Drosophila melanogaster: one gene and its partners. The protein of the gene in region 1 purifies or fractionates together with the protein of each later gene. This does not show direct contact. Each region holds a gene or a part of one and is shown on either strand. Other genes may lie near its edges. The genes, in order: CG2641, puf and Vps4.

Evidence for each region.
Region 2: the proteins of CG2641 (region 1) and puf purify together in Drosophila melanogaster (affinity purification with mass spectrometry, with the first as the bait; one large-scale study listed by BioGRID). This does not show direct contact.
Region 3: the proteins of CG2641 (region 1) and Vps4 purify together in Drosophila melanogaster (affinity purification with mass spectrometry, with the first as the bait; one large-scale study listed by BioGRID). This does not show direct contact.

The regions. Positions count from the first base shown.
Region 1 is NT_033777.3:7,792,246-7,795,999, forward strand, and holds the start of CG2641 (uncharacterized protein), read left to right. Parts: upstream 1-1,823; 5' UTR 1,824-1,963; coding exon 1,964-2,075; intron 2,076-2,624; coding exon 2,625-2,974; intron 2,975-3,347; coding exon 3,348-3,754. Other genes in the region: CG10086 (uncharacterized protein), read left to right, coding at 1-475, 634-878.
Region 2 is NT_033777.3:24,648,290-24,652,043, reverse strand, and holds the start of puf (puffyeye), read left to right. Parts: upstream 1-2,000; 5' UTR 2,001-2,357; coding exon 2,358-2,400; intron 2,401-2,498; coding exon 2,499-3,536; intron 3,537-3,653; coding exon 3,654-3,754. Other genes in the region: ash2 (absent, small, or homeotic discs 2), read right to left, coding at 1-183, 1,050-1,394, 1,455-1,639, 1,700-1,815. UniProt on the Drosophila melanogaster protein: Ubiquitin hydrolase that can remove conjugated ubiquitin from target proteins and polyubiquitin chains. Essential for Myc-mediated cell growth and proliferation in developing eyes and wings.
Region 3 is NC_004354.4:17,906,056-17,909,809, forward strand, and holds the start of Vps4 (vacuolar protein sorting 4), read left to right. Parts: upstream 1-1,636; 5' UTR 1,637-1,796; intron 1,797-2,518; 5' UTR 2,519-2,522; coding exon 2,523-2,658; intron 2,659-2,752; coding exon 2,753-3,614; intron 3,615-3,725; coding exon 3,726-3,754. Other genes in the region: CG7772 (uncharacterized protein), read right to left, coding at 120-282, 598-823, 897-1,002.

The DNA of each region.
Region 1 (3,754 bases):
ACGCCCTCGCTACGCACCACATCCGAGAAGATAATGCTGGTGAAGCGCGAGTGCGGTCCGGTGGCTCATAATGCGCAGAGGACTTACACGGAAACCCTGAGGATTCCGGCAACGGCGCCCACCTGCGAGCACCTAAGCAAGGTGGTGCGCGTATCTTACGAAGTGCGTGTGGTGGCTGTTATGAACTGGCTTATGGCTAATCCCCGGCTCATAATCCCTGTGACTATTGGCAACGTGCCCCTGGCAACTGCGGTGTCCGGACCGGACTTCCTGCCAACTAACGCCTTCCCATCTGGAAGTTCGCTGCCTGCCGACTTGCCATGCACCTCTACAAGGGCCATGGAACTGGCTCAGATGGCCGCAAGCGGGGTCAGCAACTCCGGCTACGAGATGGCCGAGGATCTAGAGGACTTCGAGCTTCCAGAGGATGGAGATGATGAGTTGGAGGCCGCCGACGATTTCGTACCAGATTTACGTGAGTACAAGAGAACAAAATATTTCTAGCTAGGACTTTGTTATGAAAGATGTTAAATAGAGCCCTTATGTATATGTTCTTTATATTTTTGTTATGCTATTGTGAGGCGATAGTTTCATTCTTCATTCTCCATATTTTTTATGTCATTTTTTCTATAGCTCCTCCTACCTACGAGCAGGCCATGTTCATGACCACTGATATTGCGGACACGGACGCGAACACGGTCAGCGAGGCCTCCCGATTTACTCCACGCTATCCGGTCTTCGATGTGGACACCTTCCAGAGCCCGCCGCCAAATCCTCCCCAGAAGAAAAGGCGCCGCCGACGCAGACGTCCTGCCGATCCTGGACAGTCGAAGCAACAACCGGAGAAACAACCAGTGGAGTCACCCGTGCAGATCTGAGGGCAGTTATCGCGAAAAATCACGACTATATCTTATCTCGGCAGTATTTATTTCTTTTACGGTTCGCCAGTGTACTTACCAAAATGTTTACTATATATGTATGTATATCGGAATGATAAACAACCCAGAATATAAAAGTGTCTACTGGGTGATACGCGATAAATTGCGACTATAGCCTAGACAACCAAGTCCATGAAGGCATTGAACTACAAATTTATTTATTCATTTATAAATTAAATTGAGTGGAGGACTTCTAGCTCAGTCCGTGAGTTTAAATACTTATGAGAGCTAGAAATTTTGATTTACGCATACATGCTCCCAATTTCTAATTCTATTGCTTGACAATTTCCATTAAAATGCAAAAAAAAAATGTATAACTTCCTCTCTATCTGAGTAACAGGTATCTGATCCGGCCCATTCCGAATTATATAGAATATATAGCATAGAAACGGACATGCATTTATCGCCTTAATACTGATCAAACATTCTCTCGACTGTCAAGATACCCTTTGGTTGCTACGCACCACGATAGAAAATCAGGAACTTCTTGGACTTTTGCGCGTTTGTAAATGAGTACAAATCATCATTAACAAACGTAATCAACTATCACAGACTTAAGTCCATAGACGACTTAACTTGATGTGATTCTTTTTCACCGTATTTCGTCCAAAAAATAATAACAACGCGATAATAACAACTCAACTAAACTAGAGCTTTCACAGAACCCACCTGATTTTTGTTTACAAATTTTTAGATTTGTTGTTGCCTTATTCTTCGTAACAAAACAAACAAAAAAGAGAACCGTTTATCAAAATCCGATGCCTCTCAATTTTGTTTTTTTTTTTTAGTGAGCGGAAGCCCCAAAAGCTCGCTCACCAGAAAAGCTTTGGCTCTCGCCAAGTGATGATGTCACTGACATCCCAGCTGTTGCAGACCGGCTATTCTCATTCTAAATTCTCACTTCGGGTGCGACGCTTGTCTGGTGCTAAATAAATTCACGTTGCGCGTCGCCAGTGAATAAGATCTGGAATTTCGAAATATATGTGCCAGCACCCACATACTAAATAATAGATTGCATTTCCAAAATGCCTTCCAGCTGCTCTTTTGAGCTCGATCGCCGCGAACCCATTTACTACAGTGGTGAGACGGTCAATGGAAGGGCCATTCTGACAACAACATCCGAAAAGTCTGTGAACGGTGAGTTTTAGTCGTTAAAAAGCGAATGGACTGATATGTTTTTAATTTGAGCGTAATCACTGTTGACTCTGTGATAACACCAAGCCGGTTTTATAGAATGCAGCAAACAAACAAGTTTGTTGTAGCGCCATAAAGTGTTTTGCTTCTTATATAAGAAGGATTTTAGCGACCATTTATGTGGCTTTAATTGTCTCAAATGTTTAATTCCTAGTATCCTAAATTGCATGCCCTGATGAGCTCAGTTCGCCCCTAACTACAAATTCATTGATCAATTTTTGCGTTTTTCAAATAGCCAATTCTAAAAACAAACTTGAAAGCTTTACAAAAGATAACAAAAGTATGTATACAAGCAAACAAGTATTTGATACAGTGCTCTGTATCAATTTCCATGTTCAGTTCCATTTTTGATTGGCGTAATCTCATTCTGCACTTACAGCAACTCCTTCGGAGTCCGAAGAAGGCTTTCACATACGTTCAACATATAAAGATTCGTTTTCGGATACAAACCATATTCAAATATCACTCTCTCTCTTTTCACTTTCTGATTAGAGGTATACATTCTTTTCGAGGGCGAGGCAAAGGTGCGATGGGATGAGCGGCGAACAAGGACGAGAGGTGGAAAGACCGAGCACTACACGGAGTATTTCCGAGGCAAGCAGCAGTACTTGTACACCCGGACATCGGTCTTTGGATCCGGGAATCTGCCGCCAGGTACGCACACCTACAACTTCTGCATTCCACTGCCCCTGGAATGCCCCTCATCAGTGGTGGCCCAGTACGGAAAAATCTTCTACGAGGTCTCCGTGGTCATCGATCGCCAGTGGCGCTTCAACAACGTCTTCAAGCAGCCACTGACGGTCATACAGACCTACAACCTCAACATGAGCCCCCAATTGCTGGTGAGTCCAAGGACAGGAACAGTTTACTAAAAGTTTAGATTGCACTAATCGGTAGTAAATCAATGCAGTTTTAAATTGTCCTGCGACAGATATTTAAGGACAATTAGACGAGTCATTCAAGTATAGAAACATTGCGTGCCTTATGGACGTAAATTCCGAAGTTATTAAACAAACAAGGGGTGTGTTCATTCAAACCAAAGCTATGGGACTAAATAAAAAATTTAAATAAATTAAAAATAAATTTTTTACGATCCTAACCTGTAGAAATGTAAACAAAAAAATGTTAATTAAACTTTAAAATTATATCAATAAGAGTAATTAGGTAATATTAGTTATTCCTAGGAACTAATAAATGCACACTCTTTTTCGACAGATGCCCCTAGTCCGAGAGGACATCAAGCACTTTTGCTGTTGGCCCTGCAGTTCAGGCCCGGTTCTATCGACATTAACAATACCCTTCGGTGGTTACGCGCCTGGTCAGAAGATACGCTTTACTCTGGAGATTGACAACCAGTCGAGTGGCTATGATCTGAATGGGATCGAACTGAAACTTAAGCAGATTTACAAATTCCAGGCTCAAACGCCGCACCACAAAACTCGCGAAAAGGAGCACAGCCTCAACAAAAGTTGCCAGCAGGAGCGCGTTTTGAGGCTCTCAAAGAAAAAAATTGAAGGAACCCTGGCTATTCCAGCAGTACCGCCCTCTTCCCGCACCGAAGGCATCATTTCGGTTAGTTACCAAGTTATCCTCACGATCAGCACTGGCGACTGCCACGTGGA
Region 2 (3,754 bases), about 17 Mb from region 1:
GATCCGGTTCGGCGAGTATATAACGATAGCCATCCTTGTTGAAGGGGTGTTCCAATGGATAGCCATGCGGTGGCAACTTTACATTGGCCGTAATATCGGAACTGGGCCGACCCTTCTTGCCCGTGGGACCCGAATCCGTGCCGGGAAATTTCCTTTTCTGTCGATTGTTTTTGGAGAGGGAAGCTGGAAGCATGTGGATCAATCATTAGTTACAAATCCAATAATAGACATGTATTGTGGAAATATAAAAACAGCTAATGCGTGATAGTAATAGTGGAGTAGATCTTGGGGCGTATCTGCAATGCTTCCAGAAGGAGCTATCCCCAAGGAAATTCGTTCACCAAGGAAATTGATTGCTGGGACATATGTAGATGAATGGGCAAAGTTCGGGTCGGTGCTGTTTCCGGGCTTACACTCCTCGTCCGTAAAAGATGACGCCATCGCGGAGGGAGAATGAGCAGGAGCAGAAGCAGGACCCGGTCACAATGGAACTGAAGGAGCGGGGGCCTTGCAATTGCGTAGTGCTCAAAATCAAATCGCAATCAATTCCCCCGAAAGAGCACCACACACACGCACACTGAGACACTGGCGAAGTGTTCCAAGCGTAACTATTTGTTTGTAATGAATGAGCCAAGTTGAGCGCGCCTCTGCCAGCCCCACCCCACCCCACTTCGCCCCGCCCACAATCTGACTACGTGGGGCTCTCTCTCTCTCTCTCTCTTTCTCTGTGTGTGTGCAAATCTGAAACTACGATCCGCATTGCGATTTTGTTAGTTGTTGTTGTTACTTTACTCTGGCAAACACTTGCGAAAGAGCGTGCGAAAGGAAGCGGCGATAAATAGGGGGAGCGAATAGGCAGCGGAATAGGCGACACAAAAACCACTGTGCCAAAATCAGCTGGTCGAACAGTGTTGCCAATTTGGCCGCCAAAAGATAATTCATTTAGCTTTCTACCACTGAGCGTTCGATAACACATGGGGTCAAGTTTTTAGCATTCAAATTATAGACTTCAAATCGATTTAAATGTCTATCATCTTATTTACACTCACCTTGAGTATATCCATCGTCGGTGAGTCGCAGGGCGCCGCTCTTGCTCATGCTCTCGTAGTTGGGCTTGATGATTCGCAGATCCTGATGGAATAGTCCGTACATGGCGCCATGTTCCGCATGCTCCTCGTAGGTGAACAGGGTCTGCACATCCTTGACCAAAGATCGCTGGACGGTGCTGTACCAGGACTGGGTGAGTCTGCGTGGCATGGTGGTCATGGCCTCCCAGTACTGTTCGATGTACGGTATGATCTCCTTGTCCTTGCTAAACTGAATCTGGCGACGTCCGTCCCTGGAAGCCGCCTGCTGCATGTTGGCAATGGCACAGTGGCACATCTGGGATATGGCTGGAAGTGGATATTGTTATTATCAAGAGGGATAAATGTGCGGGGCTTCTTTGCACTTACTAGCCTGGCTCTTGCGAAAGCTCTCCAATCCGCTGGCAGAGCAATTTTTACAGACGAACACATAGTTGGTGATGAAGGGCAGAAGTTTACCCTTACCAAGCTGGTAGGAAACGCAGGTCTCGTGCACCCAGCGTGAACAGGTGGCACACAGCAGCTCCACAATATTGAGATTGCGCTCCTTGCCGCTAAAAACAATGTCAATAGAAGGGAGCCGGCCAAGCAAAAAACCCATACAAAGAGCTCACCAGTAACAAACGCCGGCTGCGGAACGCGTTTCCTGCGATTTATCCTCCTCCGCAGTGAAGTTCACCTCGGAGCTGGACTCTGTCGGCGAGCTTGTGTCCATTTGGCTGTCCTCCATTGCAGTGATAAAGGTTTTCAGTCAACAATTAGCATGTAAACAAATATTAGCGGCCCGCAAGAAATTCGGTGGCTGGCCAGAGTGACCGTTGGCGGGCAAACACATGGTGCGTTTGCAAATACCAGAACGTCGCCAAAGAGCGATAAACGATAGACGACAACATTTAGAGCACACAGCCTGACAACCCTGCCCCTGCCTCTTCGCTCCAACTCTGGCTCTTGCTTCGATTGTAATTGTATATATATATATCCCTACCATATATATATGTCCGAGTGTAGAATTATCATTTTTTTGTTGCCGAAAAACAGTGTTCCGTGTTGAGAGGCGAGGGCGCCATCCTAAATGGCATTGCACGACCGCCGGGAGCGAGCCGAGCGACCAACGAATAGCAAGAAGAGCAAGTGCCCGCAACTCAGACCGTGACTCCGCCAGCGTATCCCAGACTCCGACTACTCTCCATAGACGGCCAGGAGTCGTCGCCGCTGGCAAGGCGGCCCTAACCCCTGGAAGCTACCGATTCGGTGTGCAGCTAGTGGAGCACCATGTGCGAGGTGTGCGCCGACTTCCAGAATCTCCTGGAGCTCTGTAAGTGAAAAGTGCACTGCGAAAAAAAAATAGAATGAAGACGAACACCGGAGCCCCTGCCCCCTGCTTACACATAGTATTCCGAATTCCTTTTGCAGATGAGGTGCGCGTGGCCAGCTCGGATCTGAAGTTCCAGCTGCTGCTGAAGAGCGAGATCGAGACCACCTTCAACTACATCCAGTCGTGGCCGCAGCGTCAGTGCATGTGCCTGTACCGGGACACCAAGAACTATGACCGTTTCAACCTGGTAGTGCAGTCGCTCATCTGTCTGACGGTGCAGCATCTGAAGCACATCGACCACCTCATCGACAACTACAAGCGGCTAACGGCCAGTGCTGCCCAGGTGGTGGCCCAGGCCCAGCAGCAGCGTGAACAGCAGCGGGACGAAGCGTCAGCCCAGGCAGAGGCAAAGGAATCATCCGCGCCAGCGGAAGAACCTAAGAAGGAGGAGCCATCTGGGTCCGCCGGTGAGGAGGCTCAGGGCTCCGGCGACGGGCCAGCCAAAAAGCCGCCAGTTGGCCCCTGCACTCCCCCTCCCCCGCAAACGGCCAATCCTCAGCACAAATCCCACCTGCAGTACACAGAGGAGCCCTGGATCCTGCCCGAGGTGGAGAAACTGTTGGTGCTCGTTTCAAAGGTGTTCCTGCTCAACTTCCCGCTGTACATCGCCCACAAACATGGCATGCACTCTCGGCTGGACGACCTGCAGGCTGAGGAGGCCCACCACCTGGCCCTCATCTGCGATCTTCACGACAACGACCTGCCCATCTATCTGCTGCGGAATGTGAGCCTGTTCTGCAACTCGGGCGGCTTTGGCGCCATGTCGCTGTGCTTCGAACATCCCGATCTGCCAGTGTCCACCGCTCACTCGATGACCGCTGCCGTCTCAAATGTGAAACTTTGGCTGAACTATCACTGTAATACTCAGCTCTTCGTGCCGCTGCGAAGTCGGATACTGCAGTACATGTGCAAGCTGTCGGATCAGAGCCTCCGATCTGCCGCAACCCGCGCGATGGCCGATTTTGTGTGGTCCTCTATGCGAGACCCACTGGATGTTGCTGTCAACTTCGACACCGAAGGATTGGCCCTGGCCTTTAAGTACTTCACATCGACCACGCTAACCATGCGACTGGCAGGTATGTCCTACGATGTTGACATACTTAATTAGGACATTTCGAATAATGCTGAAATATTATATTTATTTATCAATAAATATTATATAATAAGAGTAAATGATTTCAAATATTTTCCAGGCATGGCCCAGATCAACGCACACATTAATCTATTTAACGAGATCTGCACCACCGAAACGGTCAACGAAGTGGAGCTGTTCGGGCAGCGCATCGCGAACTGG
Region 3 (3,754 bases), on another chromosome or scaffold:
GGGCTAAAGCTTTGCTACAGTTCATGTAAACTCTTAGTATCTAAGAACTATCACCGTGGAGTAGAATGGGAGTAGACTTGGAGTTGGGCCAATGCTGTGCACATCCCAGCTAGCGTTCACTACCGCACCGTCTTGCGGTAGGTGGCGTCCATCAGGCGGTCAACCATGCTGTCAATGGGATGGATGATAAGCGGTATGCTGGCCAGACCCACCAGGGTGGGCACCGTCTTTAGCACGGGCATAGGCGCTTTGCTCAGCAGTGTTTTGGTGGCCCAGGTGATCCTAAAACGATATAAATGAGCATTGCTTATTATGTGAACATAAACTCATAAAAATGGGTATGATCTTGGAGAGAACGATGACTTCATCGTGTATCTACAAATATACAATAAACCTGTTTTTGCAACATTGCACATGCCATTCTACTACGTATATGCACTCTATAGTATAATTTTTACTATGCTTATATAAGATAAGTATTATGCAACTAATGGAAAAAGGGAATCTTTAAGACGCCTCATTCCCTACTTCCAACTATGTAAATACAACCATTAAGTCTACGTTTTTGGGCAATTTTCTGGCAAGGGTTGAACGCACCGATTGATGACCAGGCCGGGAATGGCGACGGAGGCCAGCATCTGCCAGCAGAAGACGTCGCCGCCCTTGACGGCCACTTCTCTGGAGGAAGCGCCCTCCATTTGGAGGCGCAGTGCCTTGTCAAAAGTGTCCGTGCAGACGTATCCGATGGCCATGCCGTAGGATGCGGCCACCAGAGACTTGGGCACCAGCGGGCGGAAGGACTCGCCAATCTCGTTGCTGTAGCCTGCAAAGCCGTAACAATTAAACTCATATATTTCGATGGATCTGGGCAGATTCTGCTTGGGAGGAACACTCACCCATATAGCGAATGAAGGTGTCCCGGTAGATGTCCACCTCCTTCAAAGACGTGGAAGTTTTCTTGGTGCCCTTATCCCGGCGGATGAACTGTTTGTCCTCCGACATTGTCTATTTTTTTTATTTTTATTTTTTATTTTTGGAATGGCAGAAGTTCTAATGCTATTTTGATTTTCGAGTAATTGGGTAATATGACAAGATGATCTGATCTTCTCCAACTGACGCAAAATCAGCTGGCAACTGAGTTTCCTAAAAATTCATTGAAATCGCTTAAAATATCGCTTTAAATAAAATAATTAAAGCGCCTAACTGCCTATAAATTGGAGACTTAAAAACAAACTGTTTATATAAATATTTTAATTGCGCGTATCGATAATGTATTATTGTTATCGATTGTCAGAGCTAGTGGAAAAAACGCTAAAATCAGCTATTTATGGCGATTAAAATTTATAGGAATTTATAGCAATTATGAAATATCATATATTAGTTTTTATATTGTATTCGTTTTTTAATGAGCTAAGTCCATTTAATATCGCTTGCTATACACTTAATCATATAACATATGAGTTCCGAACTCTTTTAAGTTAAATAAAGTAATGTGAACAAATTGTCATATTGTCACATATGTGAATTTATTAGAGCTGGATTTTTGGCTACACTTTCAAAAACCGCGCCAAGTAATTTCACCTTTCCATGTGTGACCATTGCAGCTGCACCGCAATCTAAGGCCCAGCCCGCGCTGTGGTCACACTGACAAATAAAAAAAAACAAGACGTCGTCATTCGCGTTGGAATTCCAACAAAATAGTTAAGTTTTCCTTTTGTTTAACACCTGTCGAGTTAGCCAGCGAGTTAGTCAGTGACGCTTGCCGGAATTCCAGGAGCAAGTCAGCCAGCATAAATGTGAGTAATGGTCGGAACTGACCCGCCATCCCCTCCGCAGCCGCCCCGCAAAAAGTTGGCTACTTGTGTTTTTGTCAATGCCGCTGTATTCGGGCATTAGTCATGCCCAGAAATTCGATTTTGCTCGCGAACTGCGTCACCGAAGGACACTGAGTAGCAAGATGGGAGTTACTACTCCGCCAAGGATCAATTGGGTAACCATCGTCATCGGCCTGGCCAGCGAAACTCACGCCGAGATGATAGATTCCCAAGGGGAGGGGGGCTATTACAGCCCGAAATATATCAAAATTCTATGGAATCATTATGCTCGGGAAGTTTGGCATTACAATATGAGTTATAGAATCGTTTTGGATAGTGAGTGTAAAGCAATCAAAGGATATAAACAAAGCTGGGATCAGATCCAGTTGATTTTGCATAAATCGATATTGTAACTATATTTTTAGAACCTGTTTAATAACTTTATTTTGAACTTTATTCTATACATTATGCTCCATATTGCACAAATCGATTTGCCCACATATTTGTGGCATCTTTAGTTCTCTGTGTAGTAAAGTTGTAGGCTTTAAAATATGACAACTTAACTCTAAGCTGAGCAGAAATGATTAGAAAGCGGAAATTAAGATGATAAAATCCATAAGTAGTCCACGTTAAGCCTTGGTGGATAGTTCCTCCCATCAAAATGCCAGTTGAAATAATGATGTGTGAACGTTTGTAACTTCCAGCACCATGGCAGCCGGTACCACACTACAGAAGGCCATCGATCTGGTGACCAAGGCCACCGAGGAGGATCGAAATAAGAACTACGCGGAGGCACTGCGTCTGTATGAGCACGGGGTGGAGTACTTCCTGCACACCATCAAATGTAAGCAGTCCCATTAGTGCATCTAAAATGCACTTATACTCACTGAATAGAAGCAAGCTGACTACTAACTATCAAATTACTATCTAACGAGCAGATGAGGCACAGGGCGAGAAGGCCAAGGACTCGATACGGGCCAAGTGCCTGCAGTATTTGGACCGGGCCGAGAAGCTAAAGGAGTACCTGAAGAAGGGCAAAAAGAAACCGATCAAGGAGGGTGGTGAGTCCAGCGCCAAGGACGACAAGGACAAAAAGAGCGACAGCGATGACGAGGACGGCGACGATCCCGAGAAGAAGAAGCTGCAGAGCAAGCTGGAGGACGCCATTGTCATAGAGAAGCCAAAGGTTCAGTGGTCCGATGTCGCTGGCCTGGATGCCGCCAAGGAGGCGCTGAAGGAGGCCGTTATCCTGCCGATTAAATTCCCGCAGCTCTTCACTGGCAAGCGGATTCCGTGGAAGGGCATCCTGCTGTTCGGCCCGCCCGGTACCGGTAAATCCTATCTGGCCAAGGCCGTCGCCACCGAGGCCAATCGCTCCACATTCTTCTCGGTGTCCAGTTCGGATCTGATGTCCAAGTGGCTGGGCGAGTCCGAGAAGCTGGTCAAGAATCTCTTCGAACTGGCCCGCCAGCACAAGCCCTCCATTATCTTCATTGACGAGATCGATTCGATGTGCTCGGCGAGATCGGACAACGAGAACGACAGCGTGCGACGCATCAAGACCGAGTTTCTGGTGCAGATGCAGGGCGTGGGCAATGACACCGATGGCATTCTCGTTCTCGGCGCCACAAACATACCGTGGGTCCTCGACTCGGCCATTCGCCGTCGATTCGAGAAGCGCATCTACATTCCGCTGCCGGAGGCGCATGCCCGCCTCGTCATGTTCAAGATCCATCTGGGCAACACCACGCACGTGCTCACCGAGCAGGATCTCAAGGAGTTGGCCGGCAAAACCGAGGGGTAAATGCACTTTATAAACTATTTGCTTCACTATCACACAAAATTGATCCATTGTTTATAATGTTTATATGTAAGCATATTTAACTAAGTGAATGATTTTCCGTTTTGCAGCTACTCTGGCGCGGATATATCAATCGTTG